Anolis sagrei: one gene and its partners. The protein of the gene in region 3 interacts with the protein of the main gene of each other region in a pairwise test. Links are inferred from orthologs where the notes say so. Each region holds a gene or a part of one and is shown on either strand. Other genes may lie near its edges.

Region 1 (8,213 bases), about 22 Mb from region 3:
TTTGCTTAACTACATCTTTGCAGTGCTGCTAAAATCCACAAAAAATGCAGTTGATGTTAGCAGTAGAAGTAATCTACTCTCAGTATATAAATTTGGTTTTCACTACTATAGTTAACATAAACCATGGTTTAAATTCAAATGACACCCTAAATGGTGAATTAATAGGAAATATAAGAAAAGCTTTAGGGCCCTTCCACGCAGATCTATATCCCAGAATATCAAGGCAGAAAATCCCACAATATCTGCTTGGAACTGGGTTATCTGAATTTCTGTCTGGATATTCTGGGATATATGGCTGTGTGGAAGGGCCCTCAGTGTTATGTCCAAACACAACTGGGGAGCACCAACCAGTCAAAGAGCTCTGTACCACTCAGATATCTAGGCTGCACCAGGGTAACTAACAGAAAATATTTCAGTTTTGACAACTTGGGACCTGTACTTTCAGTGAAACTTTTTCTACCATGGATGATAGTACAAATATGTACATGCAGACATGGTATGAGTTATATTAACACCGAAGACTTGATCACACTCAATCCAAATCCACCGTGAAGAAAGCTGACATTTTATTAATATGAATAATTTTAATGTGCTTTAACCTACACATTTTAAATGGGCTTATATTTTTATCTGTGTATTTTAACTATGTTGTACCATGACTTGAGAAGCTGTGGGTAAAAAAAAGTATTATTTTTAAAGAGTGTATACATGTACGGAAGACGTAAAAAGAAATCTTCTTCCCCCATCAAATAGAAAGTATTCCACTATTTATACCCACTGGGAATCTCATCTCCATCTGATAACCTCCAAGGCTGCATCCACATTGCAAAACTAATGCAGTTTGAAACTTTGACTGCCTTGGCTCATTGCTATGGACCTGTGGTACCTATAGTATGGTGAGACATAAAACCTCTTTGATAGAAAAGGCTTAAGATCTTGTAAAACTACAATCCCCATGTTCCTACAGCATTGAACCATGGCAGTTAAACCACTCATGGAGTGCCGTAAAGGGAAGTTTATGTTCTTGGATGACAAAATTTCTCCTGAGATGCTTGACAAAGAAGGGCAAGCGGAGCAAATGCAAAGATTTTAAAGTTTGTATATTTTTAGGTTTTAAATTGTATTGCATTTGTTTTACTGAAGCCGCTTTGAGTCTCTTTTGTAGAGAAAAAGGGGAATATGAAGAAGAAGGGTACATGTTTTTAGATAAATATTTGTTTACATCTTTTTGTTTTTAATTTGTGCATTTTTATTTTTTAATGTTGTTAGCTGCTTTGCGTTATTTTGAAGACAGAAAAAGGAGATAATAAATACTAATATTTTTAAAAAATAAATATTTGTTTATATCCTTTTGGTTTTAATTTGTGCATTTTTATTTTTTAACAGTGTTAGCTGCTTTTGAATCATTTTGAAGACAGAAAAAGTGGGATATAAATAATATTAAACAGAGTATATATTTTGAGATAAACATTTGTTTACATCTTTCTGGTTTTAATTTTGTGCATTTTATTTTTTAATATTATTAGCTGCTCCTGAGCTATTTTGAAGACAGAAAAATCAGGGCATTCATTAATAAAAATAATAATAATAATTATAATAATAATAGGATATATGTTATCTATATAAATAAAAATGTAATTTTAGTTTGTGGGATTAACATAGCTGAAAAACCACTGGACGAATTGACACAAAATTTGGACACTATACCCTTAACAGACCAATGAGTGACCATAACTCATATCCCCCCCCCCCCAAAAAAAAAGCCAGCGGAAAAAAAAAATTAAAAACCAAAAAAAAACTAAACAACAATACAGTGCATATTTCCAATTTCGTATTCCTGGACTGCAACTCTCCTGTTTACCTCTCCGAACGTATTCTCCCCTACGAACCATCAAGATTATTAAGATCATCTGGAGAGGCCCTGCTCTCGGTCCCACCGGCCTTTCAAGCGCGTCTGGTGGGGACGAGGGACAGGGCCTTCTCGGTGGTGGCCCCGCAACTCTGGAACTCTCTCCCACCGGAGGTCAGAACCGCCGCGTCTATCCTGACACTTAGGAAACGAGTGAAGACGTGGCTGTGCAGTCAGGCTTTCGATGAATGAGACAACACCCTAGGATTCTGGATGGAAGATGATGTAGATCTGATTTTAATATGACGACTGACCACCGTAGTTTTATATATAGTGTTATTTTAAACTTGTTATTGTAATTGTGATATATGATATTTTAATGAGTGTATGTGTTTTTATGGTTGGAAACCGGGCTGAGTCCCTCAATGAGATTGAGAAGTTCGGTATAGAAAACTTTGAAATAAATAAATAAATAAATAAACTCTCAGCAATCCTCCAGATAGATAAGATAGATAGATTACACGTCTTTCCACAAACGCCACTATCACCTTTTCGCCCATGTTTCAGCACTATTTCCAATTTTAATTTTACATTTGGCCTTCCCACAGTTTTTAATTGTATGTTGTCTTATTGATAATGTGATATGTTTATTGTTTATGTTTTTATTTTAATTGCTTGTATTGTTGTGTTCGGGCTCGGCCTCATGTATTGTTGTATTGTTGTGTTCGGGTTCGGAGATGGTAGCGGGGTACAAATAAAGTATTATTATTATTATTATTATTATTACATAGAGATAGGTAGGTAGATCGATCGATCAGGAGGACTGCTGGGAGTTGCAGTCCAAGAATAGGAAGGAAGAAGGAAAGACAGAAAGAAAAAAGGGGAAGATAAAGAGAGGGGAAGGAAGGAGAGGTAGAGAAAGAAGGAGAAAAGGAAAGAAAAAAGAGAAGGAGAGAAAGGGGAAGGGGAGATTGGACACAGCAACGCTAGTTTTAAATAAATATTTGTTTACATCCTTTTTGTTTTAATCTGTGCACTTTTATTCTTTAATATTGTTAGCTGCTTTTGAGTCACACTGAAGAGAGAGAAAGCGGGATATAAATACTACAACTAATAATCATCATCATCATCATCATCATCATCATCGGGATGAAATACATTCCCCAAGGAGGAGGAAAAAAGGAAGGCCTGAGAAGGGCGGGGAGGCAGTGGGGGAAAGAAGAAAGCCTTTGACACCCAGCCGACCTTCCCCTTTGCCTCAAGCACTGGCCCCACCCCGCCCTCCTTTCCCCCCTTTCGAGGCTGCCTCCTCCCTCCCTCCCTCAAGCCCTCCAGAGCTTCTCACCGGCGCGGGTGGCGCAGCTGCACGGTCTCCATGGCGGCCTCCTCCTCTTCTTCTTCTGCCCCCGACTGAGGGAAGAGGCTGTGAGGGAGGCCAAGGGCGCCGCACACACCACTCACTCCTTCACTCACCGCCGTCGCTCCATCCCTTCGCGCGTGCTGCCGGGCTCTGAGAAGAACCTCTCGCTCAGCCCCGCCCTCCCAAGGCACCAGGCCCACTTCCGCTTCCCGGCAACAGCCAATCCGAAGCCCGCCCGCTAGAGAGCCGCGCGCGGCACGAACCACGTGCTTGCTTCCCCCCCCCTCCTCAAACTCTTGGAGGAGATTAAGCCCGCCCCCTCGATGGGCGTGGCCGAGCTCGCGCAGCAGCCTGAGTTCAGTCCAGTCCCAGGCTGTGGAGCCGTGGGAGCTGTAGTTTGGCTGAAGTCCCATCTACATTGCCCTATAATCCGAGTTTCTGAATCCAGATTATAATATAATAAATAACTACAACTCCCAAGTGTCAAGATTCTATTTTCCCCAAACTCCACCAGTATTCACATTTGGGCATATTGAGTATTCGTGTAGAGTTTGGTCCAGATCCATCATTGTTTGAGTCCACAGTGATCTCTGGATGTAGGTGAACTACAACTCCAAAACCAAAGGACACTGCCCACCAAACCCTTCCAGTATTTTCTGTTGGTCATGGGAAAACTGTGTGCCAAGTCTGGTTCAATTCCATCATTGGTGGGGTTCAGAATGCTCTTTGATTGAACTATAAATCCCACCAACTACAAGTCCCAAATGACAAAATCTTTTTTTTTTTTGAGTGAAGGACATACACTGAGTTGTTAGGTGTCTTGTGTCCAAATTTGGTGTCAATTCGTCCAATGGTTTTTGAGTTCTGTTAATCCCACAAACAAACATTACATTACAAGGGAACCACTGACCGCATAGGGAAGCTGATGAGGAAACATAACATACAAACCATCTACAAACCCACCAAGAAAATCCAACAAATGCTATGTTCAGCAAAGGACAAGAGGGATCCTCTCACCTCTGCAGGAGTCTACCATATACCATGCAGCTGTGGACAAGTCTACATAGGGACCACCAAACGCAGCATCGCCCAGACACGCATCAAGGAACATGAAAGGCACTGCAGACTACTTCAACCAGAGAAGTCAGCCATAGCAGAGCACCTGATGAACCAGCCTGGACACAGCATATTATTTGAGAACACAGAAATGCTGGACCACTCTAACAAGTACCATGTCAGACTACACAGAGAAGCCATTGAAATCCACAAGCATGTGGACAATTTCAACAGAAAGGAAGAGACCATGAAAATGAACAAAATCTGGCTACCAGTATTTAAAAACTCTAAAATTACAACAGCAAAACAACAGAGAGAAAACAACCAGGCACATCTTAACACCTCTCAACAAGAGATTTTCCCAGGCTCAGGCAGGCCTTCAAATGATAATGAAGGTGGTCAGTTGAAACATTCACACCTAGCTCTAGCAGAGAAGAGCTCTTTGCCCCACCCCAGCCATTACACAGATATATAAACCCATTTTCCTATTTCCAACAGACCGCACTACCTCTGAGGATGCTTGCCATAGATGCAGGCAAAACGTCAGGAGAAATGCCTCTAGAACATGGCCCTATAGCCCGAAAAAACCCGCAAGAACCTATATATATATAAATGCTCTGTGCATAATGAGTACCTTAAAAACAAAAGAACCAATGGACGAAATCACACCAAATTTTGGCAACAAAACATCTCACAAGACAAGGAGTGACCATCACTCAAAAAATTATGCTTTTGTCATTTGGGAGTTCAATGAATGAACTGAACCAAACTTGGCACACAGGACTCCCTTGACCAATAGAAAATACTGGAAGGGTTCTTGGTGGGCATTGACCTTGAGTTTGGGAGTTGTAGTTCACCTACATCCAGAGAGCACTGTACACTCAAATAATGATGGATCTGGACCAAACTTGGCACAACCACTCAATACGCCCAAATATTAACACAGATGGAGTATGGGGAAAATAGACCTTGACATTTGGGAGTTGTAGTCACTGGGATTCACAGTTCACCTACAATCAAAGAGCATTCTGAACCCACGAATTCAGAATGCTCTTTGATTGAACCCACGAATGACAGAATCGGGGCAAACTTCCCATACTGAACCCCCATGAGCAACAGAAAATACTTAAGGCCATCCAGTCCAACTCCCTTCATCAGGGCAAGAAAATGCAAACACTCAAAATATTAAAAGTAAAAAGGCATTTACAAGTCAACAAGGCTGAGGTGATGTCCAAGTCAGTGATTAAGGTGCTGGCTGAAGAAAATTATTATAGGATCTATAGGGGTCTAGTTACCATCCCCCTCCCACACCTGCCTTATCTTCTTTCAACTGGATTATAGGGCAGTGTAGACTCTTATAATGAATCCAGTTCAAAACAGTTAACGGTTCTGGCCCAACTTACCTGTCCGAACGCATCTTATGAACCCTCCAGGACTTTAAGATTGTCTGGGGAGGCACTGCTCTCGGTCCCGCCTTCGTCACAAGTACGTCTGGCGTGAACGAGAGACAGGGCCTTCTCAGTGGTGGCCCCTCGGTTATGGAATGCCCTCCCTAAGGATATCAGATCGGTCCCCTTCCTTTTAACATTTCGAAAGAGAGTCAAGACTTGGCTCTTTGAGCAGGCATTTCCAAATATAGTGTAATAGACATAGGAAAATGGAATGGTTGGACGATGTGATTGAACAATGTTTTTTAATAGGAGACACTAATGTTCATGTTTTTATTGATTTTGTTATAGTTATAGTTTTATTATCCAACTAGCCACCCCCTGCCATGCGTTGCAGAGGTCTGGATGGGAACCGCCCTGTGCTCCCTCAGGAAGATAGGGTGGTAAATTATTATTATTATTATTATTATTATTATTATTATTATTATTATTATTATTATTGCATAGTTGGTGGTTGCAAATGATTATGGTTGTTGGAGAAATACATTTTACTGTGACATTTTCTAGCTTTCTTCACATTTATTAATCAACTAGCTGTGGCCCACTCTGGTGGTCATGGGGTTCTGTGTGGGAAGTTTGTCCCAATTCTATCGTTGGTGGGGTTCAGAATGCTCTGTGATTGTAGGTGAACTGTAAATCCCATAAACTATAACTCCCAAATGTCAAGATTCTATTTTCCCCAAACTCCACTAGTATTCACATTTGGGCATATTGAGTATTCGTGAAGAGTTTGGTCCAGATCCATCATTGTTTGAGTCCACAGTGATCTCTGGATGTAGGTGAACTACAACTCCAAAACCAAAGGACACTGCCCACCAAACCCTTCCAGTATTTTCTGTTGGTCATGGGAAAACTGTGTACCAAGTCTGGTTCAATTCCATCATTGGTGGGGTTCAGAATGCTTTGATTGAACTATAAATCCCACCAACTACAAGTCCCAAATGACAAAATCTTTTGGGGGGGGGGGGTGAAGGACATACACTGAGTTGTTAGGTGTCTTGTGTCCAAATTTGGTGTCAATTCATCCAGTGGTTTTTGAGTTCTGTTAATCCCACAAACGGACATTACATTTTTATTTATATAGATTTTATAGACTGCTCCGAGCCTTCGGGGAGTTTAAAATTGATTAATAAAATAAATAAATAAATAAATATGGTGGATTTGCATTGAGTGTGATAAAATATTTGGTGTTAATATAACTCATACCATGTCTGCAAGTACATATCTATACTACTCCTTAGTAATCTTTAGATGAATGCTTGTAAGTGTAATTAAGTCATGATATTATGTGAAAAAATGCAGTCTAAATGTCAGTGTTGAGTCCATCCATAGTAGAAAAGGGATCACTGAAAGTACAGGTCCCAAGCTGTCAAAAACAGAAATATTTTCTGTTAGTTACCCTGGTGCATCCTAGGTATCTGAGTGGTACTAGCTCTTTGGCATTCCCCAGTTGTGTCTTGACATAACACTAAATGTTTTTGCATTTCAAAACTGACTATCTTCTAGGCTTGCTTGCATCACTGCTATAAGGAAATCATAAGCTTTTCTAGTTTCATGTTATGTACATCACCATTTAGGGTGTCATTTGAACTATAGTAGTGCAACCATTCGGATTTATGATCTGAGAGTAGATTACTTCTATTGCTAACATCAACCACATTTTTTTTTAATTTTAGCAGCACTGCAAAATGCAGTTAAGCAAAAGAGCCTATTCCTCAGTGTTTCTATGATGACAAACCATAGTTAGGAATTAAAATTAAAACCAGCCTTGTGTTTTGGAGAGAAATTGATTTTGTTTGAGGGCCAGTCTGCAGGCTGTTTGTTGGCAAATCTCATTACCACAATGGCTACAAACCTATCCTGCCAGAGGTCTGGATGGGAACCACCCTGAGTCCCCTCAGGGAGATAGGGCAGTCTACAAATAAAGTATTATTATTATAAATAATAATACACTTTAAAAATCCAATATGATCCTGAGGCTTGTTCCTAAATTATACACTTTGGAATATATAACCTAAGTCTTTTGCTTCCTGGTCCATGCCACTTACAAGCTATGCACGTGGTACAAAAATTACATTTGTAGTCACATACGTTTGCCACCTGTATATACCAGGAAATGAGAACTGCCTCACAACCATATAATAAATGCTTTTAATTAAATTGCTGACCTACAACTATCAGTCCTAGACAGCAAATGCAATGGTGAGGGAGGAGGGAGAGCTACAATCTCACAAGTTTTAATACTTTTATTAGTTTAAATAATAAAAATGATTGAATAAATTTTATATATTTTTATCTTAGCTTTTGTCCAGATTTTAATTTGTATTGTTCTAAATATGTTGTTAGCCAGGTCCCATTATCAGGATTTTTACTTTGTGTCAGGAGCAACTTGAGAAACTTCAAGTCGCTTCTGGTGTGAGAAAATTGGCTGTCTGCAAGGACGTTGCACAGGGGATGCCTGGATGTGTTATCATTCTGTGGGAGGCTTCTCTCATGTCCC
Region 2 (7,765 bases), about 110 Mb from region 3:
AAAACTTCCAACTCAAGTATGCATTTTTTTTGTCTGGGTAACATTTTCCCACAAAATCCTCCCTAAACAGGGACCATTGTGAATAAATGTTGCCTTCTTCCAAGTTTAATTACATCTGTGAACTCAAAGGCTAGGATTAAGTTACCTATCCTGCTAACTTATTGTTTCCTAAGAAAGAAAATGAGTGATCTTCTTTCTGCAGTGCGCAGTAAGCCCACAGTTGTTTGAAACATTGTGGTAATATGATACCAGACTAAAAGAAGGAGTTCTGCAAGTTGAAACACTGGAGGGACAGTTTCCTGCTGTGAACTTTTAAAAAATGCCCTGTAATAACACTGCTAAGAGGTTACTATCGGGCATCTGAGCCAATACTTTGCTTCTTCCACTTGACTTGTGGAAATGCTTCTATAATTAGATGAGTCATTGGCAGTTCCCCTTATGTTAATACTGTGTGTTAGAACAGGCTTTTTCTCTATGAAAATATATTCATAATAAATCCAGAAGTTCTAATTAAATGCTATGGGCATATTTTAGAATCACAAACTCAAGTAACACTGTGCAACTGACAAATCAGAAAGGCTTTACAGGCAACAAACAAGTTTACTACCAACTATTTTTCCCTTACCTTGTTTGTTCTTGCAAGATGAGATGTGGCTCCACAAAAAACTTGACACGCAGCTTCAATCTATAAGGAGGCAGACCGTCCATCTGCTGGGATATTCTGTTTCGTAGATTTAGCCACAAATTCTCGCCTTTGCTCCCTGTGAACTGGAGTCCGAAGTAGTCAACCTCTATAATTCCCAATCGCCTGCAAACCTGGGAATAAAAAAAATGAAACATTATAGAAGTTGGCCCAATGATTGTCAACCAGGTCCAGTGTGAGAAACCAATCGAGACCCCACTTGGTGGAGTTGTAACCATACCAATGGAAACAGTATCACTCCAATAGGACATCAAACTCCCCCAAAACAAAACCAGAATTATTCTTGGGAGTGTTCAACGAAAATCAACCTTATATACCTCAAGCATTCAGCAAGAACCAACTTGCCCTTCAATATTATCCAACATACTGCAAATATCAAAACAAAGACGGGAACACACACTTGGAGCTTTTACTAAATTGACAAAGTGGAATATTCTGCCTGGAAATGTGATTGAGTTCTCTCGAGGTTTTAAAGCAGAGGCTGGATGGCCACCTGTCAGGAATCCTTACAGTGGTTCTCAACCTGTGGGTCCCCAAATGTTTTGGCCTTCAACTCCCAGAAATCCTAACAACTAGTAAACTGGCTGGAATTTCTGGGAGTTGTAGGCCAAAACACCTGGAGACCCATAGGTTGAGAACCACTGCTTTATTATATGTCCCTGCATAGCAGGAGGTTGGACTGGATGGCCCTTGTGGTCTCTTCCAACTCCATGATTCTATGAAAAAGATAAAAACATGGAACAAAGGGCCCTAGATAATGAATGCAATTGGACCCAAGGACTTCTGTATACCCACAAAGGAGGGACATGTCGAGGCAATGAAAGCATCCACATGTTTCCCCTTTCACGCGTCTCCATTGTTGTTGTGCGCCTTCCTGCCCTTTCTGACTAATCTGTCACGGGATTTTCTTGGTAAGAATTGTTCAGAGTGAGCTTTCTCCGAGACTGAAAAAGTATGACTTTCCCAAGGTCGCACGATTAGTTTCCAGGGCCAAGTGGGGATTCAAACCCAGGTCTCCAGAATCACAGTCCAAAATACACAGACCACAACGCTGCTCTGTGTTCCCGCTCACATTGAAATCAAATGTTAGCATCATGGGGTATTTTTTTGCCAAGATACATTCAGAAGGGTTTGTGTGGTGCCCTTCCTCAGAGGCTGAGAATGTGTGACCCATCTAAGGTTATCCAGGCAGTGAGAATTCGCTCTCCTCTAAAGCTGTAAGAGCAAATATGGTGTGAGGCCACTTCAGGTGCCAGGGCTGGATGCTATGAGATCATGAGAGTCTGCAAAGATGGATCGAGACCTTGTGATGAAGCTACAACTACCAGAACCCAGTTCAAATCAAACAGAATTCATTCTACAGCAGCCAGGGGCAAACTTGGCTGTTAGGAATGGTAGGAGTTGAAGTCCAAAACACCTGCTGTTAGGAATGGTGGGAGTTGGGAGTCCAAAACACCTGGAGGGCCCAAGTTTTCTCATGGCTGTTCTACACAGTGTGAATGCACCCTAAGGGCAAACTTGGGCCCTCCAGGTGTTTTGGACTTCAACTCTCACAATTCCTAACAGCATGCCGGCTCGAGAACTTGTGATGAAACTACAACTCTCAGAACCCAGTTCAGAGTCAAACAGCATTCATGGGCAAACTTGGGCCCTCCAGGGGTTTTGAACTCCAACTCCCACCATTCCTAACAGCCTACCGGCTGTTAGGAATGGTGGGAGTTGAAGTCCAAAACCTCTGGAGGGCCCAAGTTTGCCCCTGGCTGTTCTACACAGTGTGAATGCACCCTAAGCCCAACGCTCAACCCACTAGGCCACATCACACATGGCGACCACATTCTCTGGGGGTTGTGACATTTCTCTCTCGACTTCAGGGGCTGATATATAGTCCTTCAGTGGCAAAGGGCCAGGCGGCGGATGAGGTTCAAAGTGGGCCCGGGGGTGGTTGTGGGGCTTTCCCTCCACACTACAAGCAAGGCGGCTCAGCGTGAGTGACGCGTGGGAGGTTATGGGAGCAGCCGGGCCGCAGGCTGTTACATCTCCCTTCCACTTCACCCCCCCCCCCCCGCCGGCGGCGCAAAGCAACGCAACGCCTGGCTATAGGAGCGCGCGCCTGCTTGAAGCCCTTGGCGCGCGACGGCAGTAGCACCGGGGGGAGGGGACGCAGATGGATAGAATGCCCTTCCGACTTCTGTCGGGAAGGGGGGGGAGGAGTAGAGAGAGCGTGCGCGCGAGAGAGACAGAGAGCGCGCGCGAGGCCAATCCAGGCTCAACGGCCGATTGAGAGATAGAGAGAGAGACCCGCGCGACTCTTCTTCACCTGGTCGAGGCAGTCTTCGCCGTTGGCTTTGGCCTCCACTTCCACCTCCATCACGACAGCGTCCGGCTTAGTCACATAGCACAGCATGGCCGCCGTTGCTGCTGCTGCTGCGGATACCGTCTTCTCCTCCTCGTCGGCCACGACGCACACTGAAGAGCCCCCAGCCCTAGACCTCCCTCAACCTCCACGCGTCAGACCTTTCCCTGCTCTGAAGCCAAAAGCAGTTCCCGGTCTTATATATCACCTCGGTCGCCCCGCCCACTTCGATTAAGCCCCACCCTCGATGGGATATAACCAATAGACGGGCGCGTTTCTGTTTTTACATGCAGCCTTCCCGACCAATCCAAAGCGGTGCTTGCCGGGAGGGCGGGTTTGGCGGACTGAGAAAGACATGTTGTTGTCAAAGGGCTCAAGGGTGCCCACACAACTGGGTGCATAAACTTCCGGTTCCTGTGTGCAATACATAGTGCGGGGCAAGGTAATAGGAAACAGAGTGGGTTGCTGTGAGTTTTCCGGCCAGTGAGGCCATGTTCCAGAAGCATTCTCTCCTGATGTTTCGCCCACTTCTATGGCAGGCATCCTTAGAGGTTGAGGGGTCTGTTGGAAACTAGGAAAGTGATGTTTACATATCTGAGGAATGTCTAGGGAAAGAACTCTAAAATTACAACAGCAAAACAACAGAGAGGAAAAAACAAGGACATCAAATACCTCTCAACAAAAGATTGCCCCAGGCACTGCTAGGCCATCAAATGCTAATCAAGGTGGTCAGTTGAAACATTCACGCCTAGCTCCAACAGACAAGAGTCCTTTGTCCCATCCTGGTCATTCCACAGATATATAAACCCTTTTTCCTAGTTCCAACAGACCTCACTACCTCTGAGGATGCTTGCCATAGATGCAGGCGAAATGTCAGGAGAGAATGCCTCTAGAACATGGCCATATAGCCTGAAAAAACCTACAGCAACCCAAAGAACTCTTGTCTGCTTGAGGCAAGTGTGAATGTTGCAGATGGCCAGCTTGATTAGCATTTAATGGCCCTGCAGCTTCAAAGCCTGCCTGGCTGCTGCCTGAGGGAATCCTTTGTTGGGAGGTGCTAGCTGGAAACAGAATGATTTGAACACGGATACACATACCTTGTGGCTTAAAAGTGGCATAGGGGGATTTTTAGATAATACATTTGTAATTTATAATACAATATAATACTAATAATAATTTATAATACAATATAAAACTACTACCACTAATAATAATACAATATTATAATTATGTATTTTATATATATATCCTACTTAGATACATCCTATCTCTGCTCACGCCCAGTGTTTATTTTAAAATTTTAATCTATTACATCTGGCCCGGCCTTAAGATTTTAAAATGTTTGTGTGTTATTGCTTATATGTAAGTTATATTAATTGTACTGTTTTATTTGCTTGCTGCTTTGTTGTTTACTGATGTGTTGTTGGGCTTGGCCTCACGTAAGCCGCCTCGAGTCCCCTTGGGGAGATGGTGGCGGGGTATAAAGTTTTATATTATTATATATTTTACAATATAATAATATAGTACAATATAGTAATATATAATACTGATATTATGCTATGCTAATAATATAATATATTGTATGTATATATATCTTGTAAGCCGCTCTGAGTCCCCTTCGAGGTGAGAAGAGTAGCATATAAATGTTGTAAATAAATAAATAAATTAGAGAGGCTCAAAGCCAACCTTTAAAATTGTGGCATAGACATCAAGAACCTGGAAACCCTGGCCCTTGAGCGCTCTAACTGGAGGTCAGCTGTGTCCAACAATGCTGCAGAATTCGAAGAGGCATGAATGGAGTGCAAAAGGGAGAAACGTTCCAAGAGGTAGGTGCGCCAAGCCAACCCTGACCAGGACAGCTTTCCACCTGTAAACCGATGTCCCCACTGCGGGAGAAAAAGCGGATCAAGAATTGGGTTCCATAGCCATTTACGAACCCACCGTCAAGACACATCACTTGGAGGACCATCATCCTCTGACTACGAGGGATCACCTAAATAAGTTTAGAGAGGCAAATAATCAGGCAACCAGGGGCAATCAGTTGTTGCTGGACTTCATAGCCCTCAAGTTAGCTTTGACTTATGGAGGCTCTGTGAATAAGTGGGCTTCCTTTTTTTTTTCTTTCCAGGTCATAGAATGGATCTACAGTACACTGTAGAATTAATGCAGTTTGGCACCACTTTAACTACCATGTCTCAATGCTATGGAATGCTGGGAGTTGTAGTTTTACAAGGACCTTAGCCTTCTTAGTATTTGTGCTCACCAAACTACACATCGCATAATGACTGATTTTTTTTTTAAAGGGAGTTAACTCTTGTTTGCTGTGATTTTGAGGTTTATATATCTGTGGAATGTCCAGGGTGGGAATCAGCCAGGCTTTGAAGCTGCAAGGCCATTCTATGCCACTCAAGGTGGCCTATTGCAGCATTCCCACTTGCCTCAAACAGATGAGAGTTGGATAGTTGTAGGTTTTTTCAGGCTATATGACCATGTTCTAGAGGCATTCTCTCCTGACGTTTCGCCTGCATCTACAGCAAGCATCCTCAGGGGTAGTGAGGTGACAAGAGTTCTCTCTCCCACCCTGGATATTATTCCACAGATATATAAACCTCACTTGCCTCATTTTCCAACAGACCTCACAATCTCTGAGGATGCCTGCCATAGATTTGGGTGAAACGTCAGGAGAGAATGCTTCTGGAACATGGCCATACAGCCCCAAAAAATCACAGCAACCCTATGTTGAATTGGTTGAGACAAAATGTGCTGCAGGATATCCCACAAAAACAACATTTTGCAGTTTACTAAACTTTGTCCATGTTTTTATGACAGAACCAATTAGGAAATGACATTTATAACTCAGGAACAAAAACCATGTTTTGTAGTGCAATTGATAACAATACCAATCTATAGCAAACACATATGTTCCCTTCCTCTCTATATCTCCTTGCTTGCTTTCTATTAGGTAGTTTGTACCAGAAGGAGAGACGTTTTCTCTTTGAAGTCTAGTTAACACTTGGAAAAGGAGAGTCTATTCAGTAGAGAGCTGATTTAGTGTAATTCTATCCATGTTTATTTGAAAATAAATCCCACAAGCTTCAGTGACTTTAATTCCAGGAGAAGAGCACACAGGATTGTATTTTTGGCTGTGATAGATTACTTTGTATTGTCTCTGCCTTTTCGCTGTACAATTCACACAGGAAACGATTACAATTAAAATATGGAAACATTATGCCAAAGTATACAATACAGAAATCCTTGCCTTGTTCATTTTGGGGGGAAAAAAACAAAAAAAAAAAGAATTGTATGCAGGTTTCTACATATATATTCACAATATGATGTCACAAATAACACTGCAATATCACAAGCAAAGAATACTGAATTGCTCTGGCATTTTCTTAACCATAATAAGCAATCTGTTTGTGTGCCAAAGTAAGCTCATAATAGAGCAGGGATGGGCAAACTTCGGCCCTCCAGGTGTTTTGGACTCCAACTTCCACAATTCCTAACAGCCGGTAGGCTGTTAGGAATTGTGGGAGTTGGAGTCCAAAACACCTGGAGGGCCAAAGTTTGCTCATCCCTGCTCTATCGTGAGCTTACTTTGACACACAAACACAGCCCAACAAAAAAATATTTGTGTTGTGGCTTTTAAGCCTGTTCTTGGGGTTATTTGGGGTGTTGATTCAGAAAATTGCATTGGATAGACTGTATCTGCTCTAGTTTCTTAGAAATGGTTATCATGATTTTCTATGGGTGAGCAGATGGCAACTGGTAGATGGCATATGTTCTATATCTCAAAAACTAGAGCTGACAGAGGAAAACTAGTGCCATTTTTGAAATCAGCAGGTCAAATATACCCAAAAGCAGGGCTAACATTTGAAGCACCAAAATGCATGTATCCAGCGTTATAAGCTCAGCGGATTAAACCACTGAGCTGCTGAACTTGTTGACCAAAAGGTTGGTGGTTCGAATCCGGGGAACGGAGTGAGCTCCTGCTGTTAGTCCCAGCTTCTGCCAACTTAGCAGTTTGAAAACATGCAAATGTGAGTAGATCTATAGCTGCCACTTTTGCGAGAAGGTAACAGCACTCCATGCAGTCATGCTGGCCACATGACCTTGGAGGCGTCTATGGACAACGCTGGCTCTTTGTCTTAGAAATGGAGATGAGCACCAACCCACAGAGTCGGACACAGGCAAACTAAATGTTAGGGGAAAACCTTTACCTTTACCTAGTATTATAAGATGATTTGCTCTTCAAATGTAGACACTTCTGGATAGATCCTTGTAGGTGCCTTCTGAGGCCCTTTCTACACTGCCATATAAAATCCAGATTATTTTTGAACTGGATTATATGGCAGTTTTCTGTGAAATGTGATGGTAGAGAATGTCAATAGCTCATTGATCAACAGAACCTAAGGCCCCTTCCACACAGCTGAATAAAATCCCACATTATCTTCTTTGAACTGGAATATATGGCAGTGTGGACTCAGATAACTCAGTTCATAGAATCATAGAATCATAGAATCGTAGAATCAAAGAGTTGGAAGAGACCTCATGGGCCATCCAGTCCAACCCCCTGCCAAGAAGCAGGAATATTGCATTCAAATCACCCCTGACAAATGGCCATCCAGCCTCTGCTTAAAAGCTTCCAAAGAAGGAGCCTCCACCACACTCCAGGGCAGAGAGTTCCACTGCTGAACGGCTCTCACAGT
Region 3 (7,613 bases):
GGTGTATAGGCTTTACTGACTTAGGCTATATCCACACTACATAATTATAGCAGTTTTACATCATGTTAACTGCCATGACTCAATGCTATGGAATTTTTGTGTAGTTTTGTGAGATGTTTACCTTTTTCTGTCAGAGAGCTTTAGTGCCACAAAAAGCTGCAAATTCCAGGATTCTATTGGATCGACCCATGGAAGGTAAAGTGGTATCAGACAGCTGCAATTCTCCAATGTGGTTAGTCTTTTAGTCATTTTGTCTGAATTATAGAGTTGGAAGAGACCTCATGGGCCATCCAGTCAACCCCCTGCCAAGAAACAGGAAAATCGAATTCAAAGCACACCTGACAGGTGGTATTCAACCTCTGTTTGAAAGTCTCCAAAGAAGGAGCTTCCACTACACTCTGAGGCAGAGAGTTCCACTGCTGAACAGTTCTCACAGGAAGTTTTTCCTAATGTTCAGGTGGTATCTCCTTTCCTGTAGTTTGAAGCCATTGTTCCGCATCCTAGTCTCCAGGGCAGCAGAAAGTCAAGGATGCTCTTTTCATTGAAAGACAATTGGCTCTTGGTACTCATAGATTTAGCCACTGACAGCTTGATTTTTTTTTAAACAAACTTTCATGTAAGGGACACCATTTACTATGCCATTGTATATAACAAGACTTGCGTTTCCATGGATTTTGGTAACCATGGAAGGTCCTAGTACCAATTCCCAGCAAATATCAAAAGCCCACTGTATCTTCTGCTATAATGCAAAACATGGGGATAATCTTAGTGTGCAAATGATATTCATTAACCTTACAAAAAGACCATTTCTGGTGGTGGGAGATTGATCGAAATAGTTTGTTGTTATGCATAGATATAACTGCCTGCACTATTAGGTCATAAGGAGCACCTGCATTTCAAAAATTACCATTAAGCCACTGGGTTGTCTTTGTACTATGAGAGAAGATAATGGAAAACATGAAAAGAAACCAGACCTTGGTGGAAACTTACTGCACATAGAACATGCTGCAAAGAATGGAGCCTTTTCTCCCAGGGCATGAAACTCCTGAGAGATCTAACCTCACTATGCCTGTCTGTACACAGCTTAATGGGTTTTCTGCCCCTAGTGCCAAAGATGTACAAAGCCAAGACGGCTTGGTGTATTTTCGTGAGGCTTTCTGTCTCTTTATCCAGCTGATGAAGCCTCCTCTAAAGTCCTTGAATCTGGTTTAATGAGAGCCCATCTACCTTTGTGAAGGAAAGAGGGAGCATTTCATTTATTGTAGAAGAAAGGGATGGGCACATAATACAATTCCTGCACTGCTCCAGGAGGCTTTTATTATTTTTTTCTGGATGAGAAAATGTCTTTTACAGATGCAGAAAAATACTTACACTGGAAGGACGTTGGAATAATTGACCTTCAGAGGTCCTTTTCAACTCCAATTCTATGACTCTCTTCTGTTATTATCATTCACATACTTTTTATGTTTTTTCAATTCTATCCCTTGTAATTTGGCCCAGACTGCTGTGCACATTTCTATTATTTTATTTCATTACCTGTGTTTGACTTTGTATTACCTTGTTTTGTCTACATTTTATTTCATGTTTATTATTTGCAGCATGTATTTTATTTTGATCTGTTGTAATTGTTGGGCTTGGCCTCATGTTAGCCACTCCAAGTCCCCTTTGGGGAGATGGTGGTGGGATAATAATAATAATAATAATAATTATTATTATTATTATTATTATTATTATTAACACAACAAGATGAGTCCACAGCAGACACTCTGCTGGCTGTTGTATTAGATCATGCATCGGACACTTCCCAAGTGTCTAGGACTGTGTGATTTATCAGCGAATAATGCATGCAGATCCCAGTATGGTGGCCTTCTGCAGCTGGCAAATGGTAATATTGTCAGCGCTGATTGTGTTTAAGTGCAGGCCAAGGTCTTTAGGCACTGCATCCAGTGTGCCAATCATCATTGGGACCACCTTGACTGGTTTGTGCCAGAGTCTTTGCAGTTTGAGCTTTAAATCCTCATATTGTGTCAGCTTTTCCAGTTGTTTCTCTTCAATCCTGCTGTCACCTGGGTTTGCAACATTGACAATCCATACTTTGTTTTTTAACATGATCATGAGGTCAGGAGTGAGGTGCTCCAAAACTCTGTCTGTCTGAATTCAGAAGTCCCAGAGGAGTTTGATGTGTTCATTTTCTGTAATTTTTTCCGGCTTGTGATCCCACCAGTTCTTTGTTGCAGGCAGATGGTATTTGCGGCACAACTTGTTATTATTATTATTATTGTTGTTGTTGTTATTGTTATTATTATGTTATTGTTTGCCTTGAGGTCTTTTTTGACCTAGGGGTGCATCTACACAAGAGAATTAATGCATGCAGTTTGACACCCCTGTAGCTACCACAATTCACTACTATAGAATTATAGAAGTTGTAGTCGTACTCCAATGCTCAAACATAGGCTCCTATTTATTATTAGTTTTTACCAATCCATCAAAAAGCCCTGGAAACCTTCCCTTCCTCCAGGACTAAAAAAGAAAAAAAAACCTTGGGTATATTATCTTGGTCAATGGCCAGCAATGAAAAAACACAATATAGAATAAGGAAAACATAAAGTAAGGCAATAAAATGTCAGTATTTGAACTAGAGCAAAGAAACAATGTGAAATAGAAAAAGTTAAAAACCAATGATGAATAAGCCTTTGACAACACAATGACAACACAATACTGTACTCTCAGGGCTCTTCCACTGAGGGCCCTTTCATACAGCCCTATATCCCAGAATATCAAGGCAGAAAATCCTACAATATTTGCTTTGAATTGGGGTATCTGAGTCCACACTCAGATAATGTGGGATTTCCTGCCTTGATATTCTGGGATATTAGGCTGTGTGGAAGGACTCACAATCATATAACTCAGATTATTGAGGCAGAAAATCGCTGAAGACCTTCAGAATATACAATATTTTCTGTTGGCAATGGGGGTTCTGTGTGGGAAGTTTGGCCCAATTCTATCATTGGTGGGGTTCAGAACACCCTTTGATTATAGGTGAACTATAAATCCCAGCAACTACAACCCCTAGATGTCAAGGTCTGTTTTCCCCAAACTCCACCAGTGTTCATATTTGGACATATTGAGTGTTTGTGCCAAGTTTGGTCTAGATCAATCATTGTTTGAGTCCACAGTGCTGTCTATATCTAGGTGAACTCCAACTCCCAAACTCAAAGTCAGTGCCCACCAAGCCCTTCTAACATTTTCTGTTGGTCATGGGAGTTCTGTGTGCCGAGTCTGGTTCAATTCCATCGTTGGTTGAGTTCAGAATGCTCTTTGATTGTAGACGAACTATAAATCCCAGCAACCACAACTCCCAAATGATGACATCAATCTCCCCCAAACCCACCAGTATTCAAATTTGGGCATATTGGGCATTTGTGCCAAATTTGGACCAGTCAATGAAAATCCATCCTGCACAGGCTCGTAGCCAGGATTTTGATTTGCGGGTGGGGGCTGAGTTTGATTGGGGGTGCTGAGGTTGATTTTGGGGAGGGGGGCAGAGGATCTACCCTAGCAAACCTTTGGTATCATTATCCCAATACCCCCATGCCTATGGGATATATTGATCATGGTGATCAGATCATGATATGAATAAACACAACAGTTTAAATAATGTACCAGTAAGGCCTTCTCATGGACCACCCTGAGAATTTCGGGGGGGGGGGGGGCTGAAGCCCATCAAGCCCCCCCCCCCCGGGCTACATGCCTGATCCTGCATATCAGATATTTACATTCATAACAGCAGCAACATTGCAGTTATGAAGTAGCAACAAAAATAATGTTCTGGTGGGGGGTCACTACAACATAAGGAACTGTATTAAGGGGTCAGGGTATTAGGTAGGTTGAGAACTACTGGTTTAACCCATTGCACCACCGGGGACTCCCCCATTCCTGGTTAAAGATAGTCATACCTTTAATCCTTGCACATTAACCAAGCTATTGCTGCTGCACGATGCGTAATAAGCCTCTGAGCATGTGCAGAATGCCTTTCTCCCCAAACTTTGTTGTATTTTTGGTGAGCTAAAGAGGAGTCGGGAGTTGTAGTGCGGAGAAGGATGGAGAAAGACCTGGTGGAAGGACAGCTCCCGGGAGGGGCTCCCTAGAGAGGCAGGAGTGGTGTCAAGGCGCATTAGCCCCGCAGACAGGGGCCCGGCGAGGCCGCGGGGCCTGGCTCCTCCTCCTCCTCCTCTTTTGCAGGTCCCTTTAAGAGCGCCTGCGCTGCCGGCCAGGTCGCTCTCTCGCAGACTCGGAGGAAGGAAAGAAGCAAGGAAGGGCGGGCGGGCGGGCGGCCTCCCTCTCTCTCCCTCTCCGTCTCTCTCTGCTCCTCTGGGGCCATGGCCATGGCTTCTCCGGCCGTGGGGCAGTTCCCCCCGTATCCGCCGCTGCTTCTGGACAAGGAGCAGCAGCGCTTCCTGCAGAGCCTCAGCGCCTCGGAGAGGAAGAAGCTCCGCAAGCGCTCCCTGCCCGCCGGCAATAGCGACCTCCTGCATCCACAGCAGCAGCAGCAGCAGAGGAGGAGGAAGAAGAGGCAGGCCGGGGGGGCCATGGAGGGGGGCGAGGAAGAGGAGGACGAAGGAGAGGAAGGCGCCCAGGAGGAGCAGCAGCAGCAGGAGGAGCAGGACCAGGAGGAGGAGGAGGGAGGACAGGGGCGCAATGCGGAGCCGCCGCGGGGCGCCAACCTGCGCCTCATCCTCGAGCCTCCCGAGGAGCCCTCGCCCGCCAAGCCCGCCTCGCTCCCCTCTCACCCGCACCACCACCACCACCACCAGCGGCTCCGGCTGAAATGCGGGGCTCCACGGCTGCTCCCCGACGTGCGCACCATCTTCGAGCAGCCCCGGGACCCGCGCGTCCGGCCCGAGAAGGGCGAAGGGCACCGCTTCCAAGGCTTCGCCCTCGTCTGGCGCGGGTGGTGCGACCTGTGCGGGAGGGAGGTCCACCAGCGGGGCCTCCGCTGCGCCAGTAAGTGCGCCAAACAGGGGAGCCGGGGGGCGGGCGGGAAAGGGGCAACCCCGTGCAATGCAAGGACCGGCCCTTCCTGGAAAGTTTGGGTGCCCAGGCCCATTGGACACAACCTAAGGGGCTCCCCACACACATCCACACCTGAACTGCCCACCCCACTTCCCTCCTTGCTTCATATCTACTATTCCAGTGTTTCTCAACCCTCCTAATGCATTAACCCCTTAATACAGATCCTTATGTTGTGGTGACCCCCAACCATAACATTATTTTTGTTGCTACTTCGTAACTGTATAATTTTGCTACTGTTATGAATCTTCATGTAAATATCTGATATGCAGGATGTATTTTCTTTCATAGGGCCTAATTTGGTACAAATACTCGCCCAAATTTGAATACCGATGAGGTTGGGATTGATTTTGTCATTTGGGAGTTGTAGTTGCTGGGGTTTATAGTTAATCTTCAATCAAAGAGCATTCTGAACTCCACCAACGATGGAATTGGACCAAACTTGGCACACAGAACTCCCATGACCAACAGAAAATACTGGAAGGATTTGGCAGGCAATTGACCTTGAGTTTTGGAGTTGTAGTTCATCTACACCCAGAGAGCACTGTGGACTCAAACAATGATGGATCTGGACCAAACTTGGCACAAATACTCAATATGCCCAAATGTGAAGTGAACACTGGTGGAGTTTGGGGGAAATAGACCTTGACATTTGGGAGTTGTAGTTACTGGGATTTATAGTTCACCTACAATCAAAGGGCATTCTGAATACCACCAATAATAGAATTGAGCCAAGTTTACCACACAGAACCCCTGTGACCAACAGAAACTACTGTTTTCTGTTGGTCTTTGGTGACCTCCACAGGGGTCCCAACCCCCAGGTTGAGAAACACTGTACTATTCCTTAGATCAGGCCTGGGCGAGCTTGGGCCCTCCTCCAGATGTTTTGGACTTCAACTCTCACCATTCCTAACAGCCTAACAGCCTCCCCCTTAAGCCTCAGCTGCTTAAGGGGGAAAAGGAAAGGGCCTGACGCTGTTAGGAATGGTGGAAGTCCAAAACATCTGGAGGGCTGAAGTTTTCCCATGCATTCCTTAGCTGCACCTCTTATGAAGCACCTCTTGTGCAGCAGCCCAAACCTATAGACTCCTAAGGCACAGAGGAGCATTTTAAGGGGGTGCTTCTTGATTCTTCCGTACTTGGGGGGTAAAGTTTAGCAACATGTTCACCACATGAGCCTCACCTAGCAGAGCAGACACATTGAGAGACCACCAGTGTCTGGAAGCCTTCCTCCATGTGCCACTCATTCCTTTTAAAAGCTAGACACCCTGATAGAAAACAGGTAAGAAAAGCGTAAGCAGCTGAAGGGGGAAAGGAAAGGGCCTGAGGCTGTTAGGAATGATGGGAGTTGAAGTCCAAAACATCTGGAGGGCTGAAGTTTGCCCATGCCTGCCTTATGCACCTCTTATGAAGCAGCCCAAGACATGGTCCTTCAGATTGTTGTTGTTCATTCGTTCAGTCGTCTCCGACTCTTCGTGACCTCATGGACCAGCCTACGCCAGAGCTCCCTGTCGGCCGTTACCACCCCCAGCTCCCTCAAGGTCAGTCCAGTCACTTCAAGGATGCCATCCATCCATCTTGCCCTTGGTCGGCCCCTCTTCCTTTTGCCTTCCACTTTCCCCAGCATAATTGTCTTCTCTAGGCTTTCCTGTCTCCTCATGATGTGGCCAAAGTACTTCAACTTTGTCTCTAGTATCTTTCCCTCCAGTGAGCAGTCGGGCTTTATTTCCTGGAGGATGGACTGGTTGGATCTTCTCGCAGTCCAAGGCACTCTCAGCACTTTCCTCCAACACCACAGCTCAAAAGCATCGATCTTCCTTCGCTCAGCCTTCCCTAAGGTCCAGCTCTCACATCCGTAGGTTACTACAGGGAATACCATGGCTTTGACTAGGCGGATCTTTGTTGCCAGTCTGATGTCTCTACTCTTCACTATTTTATCGAGACTGGACATTGCTCTCCTCCCAAGAAGTAAGCGTCTTCTGATTTCCTGGCTACAGTCTGCATCTGCAGTAATCTTTGCACCTAGAAATACAAAGTCTGTCACGGCCTCCACGGTTTCTCCCTCTATTTTCCAGTTGTCAATCATTCTTGTTGCCATAATCTTGGTTTTTTTGACGTTTAGCTGCAACCCGGCTTTTGCGCTTTCTTCTTTCACCTTGATTAGAAGGCTCCTCAGCTCCTCCTCGCTTTCGGCCATCAGAGTGGTGTCATCTGCATATCTGAGGTTGTTAATGTTTCTTCCAGCAATTTTCACCCCAGCTTTGCATTCATCCAGCCCCGCACATCGCATGATGTGTTCTGCATACAAGTTAAAAAGGTTGGGTGAGAGGATGCAGCCTTGCCGTACGCCTTTCCCAATCTTGAACCAGTCTGTTGTTCCGTGGTCAGTTCTGACTGTTGCTACTTGGTTCTTGTACAGATTCCTCAGGAGAGAGACAAGGTGGCTTGGTATGCCCATCCCACCAAGAACTTGCCACAATTTATTATGATCCACACAGTCAAAGGCTTTAGAATAGTCAATGAAGCAGAAGTAGATGTTTTTC

What was found.
Region 1: the proteins of RASSF5 (region 3) and STK4 interact in binary tests that used the Homo sapiens proteins (3 or more experiments, as listed by UniProt). The link is inferred for Anolis sagrei from reciprocal best matches to the Homo sapiens genes RASSF5 and STK4.
Region 2: the proteins of RASSF5 (region 3) and MYLIP interact in binary tests that used the Homo sapiens proteins (3 or more experiments, as listed by UniProt). The two-hybrid records come from large-scale screens. The link is inferred for Anolis sagrei from reciprocal best matches to the Homo sapiens genes RASSF5 and MYLIP.

Annotation. Positions count from the first base shown.
Region 1 is NC_090024.1:217,653,466-217,661,678, forward strand, and holds the start of STK4 (serine/threonine-protein kinase 4), read right to left. Parts: upstream 3,405-8,213; 5' UTR 3,227-3,404; coding exon 3,195-3,226; intron 1-3,194. UniProt on the Homo sapiens protein: Stress-activated, pro-apoptotic kinase which, following caspase-cleavage, enters the nucleus and induces chromatin condensation followed by internucleosomal DNA fragmentation.
Region 2 is NC_090024.1:81,176,099-81,183,863, reverse strand, and holds the start of MYLIP (E3 ubiquitin-protein ligase MYLIP), read right to left. Parts: upstream 3,250-7,765; 5' UTR 3,108-3,249; coding exon 3,021-3,107; intron 817-3,020; coding exon 626-816; intron 1-625. UniProt on the Homo sapiens protein: E3 ubiquitin-protein ligase that mediates ubiquitination and subsequent proteasomal degradation of myosin regulatory light chain (MRLC), LDLR, VLDLR and LRP8. Activity depends on E2 enzymes of the UBE2D family.
Region 3 is NC_090024.1:195,607,656-195,615,268, forward strand, and holds the start of RASSF5 (ras association domain-containing protein 5), read left to right. Parts: upstream 1-4,234; 5' UTR 4,235-4,379; coding exon 4,380-5,004; intron 5,005-7,613. UniProt on the Homo sapiens protein: Potential tumor suppressor. Seems to be involved in lymphocyte adhesion by linking RAP1A activation upon T-cell receptor or chemokine stimulation to integrin activation.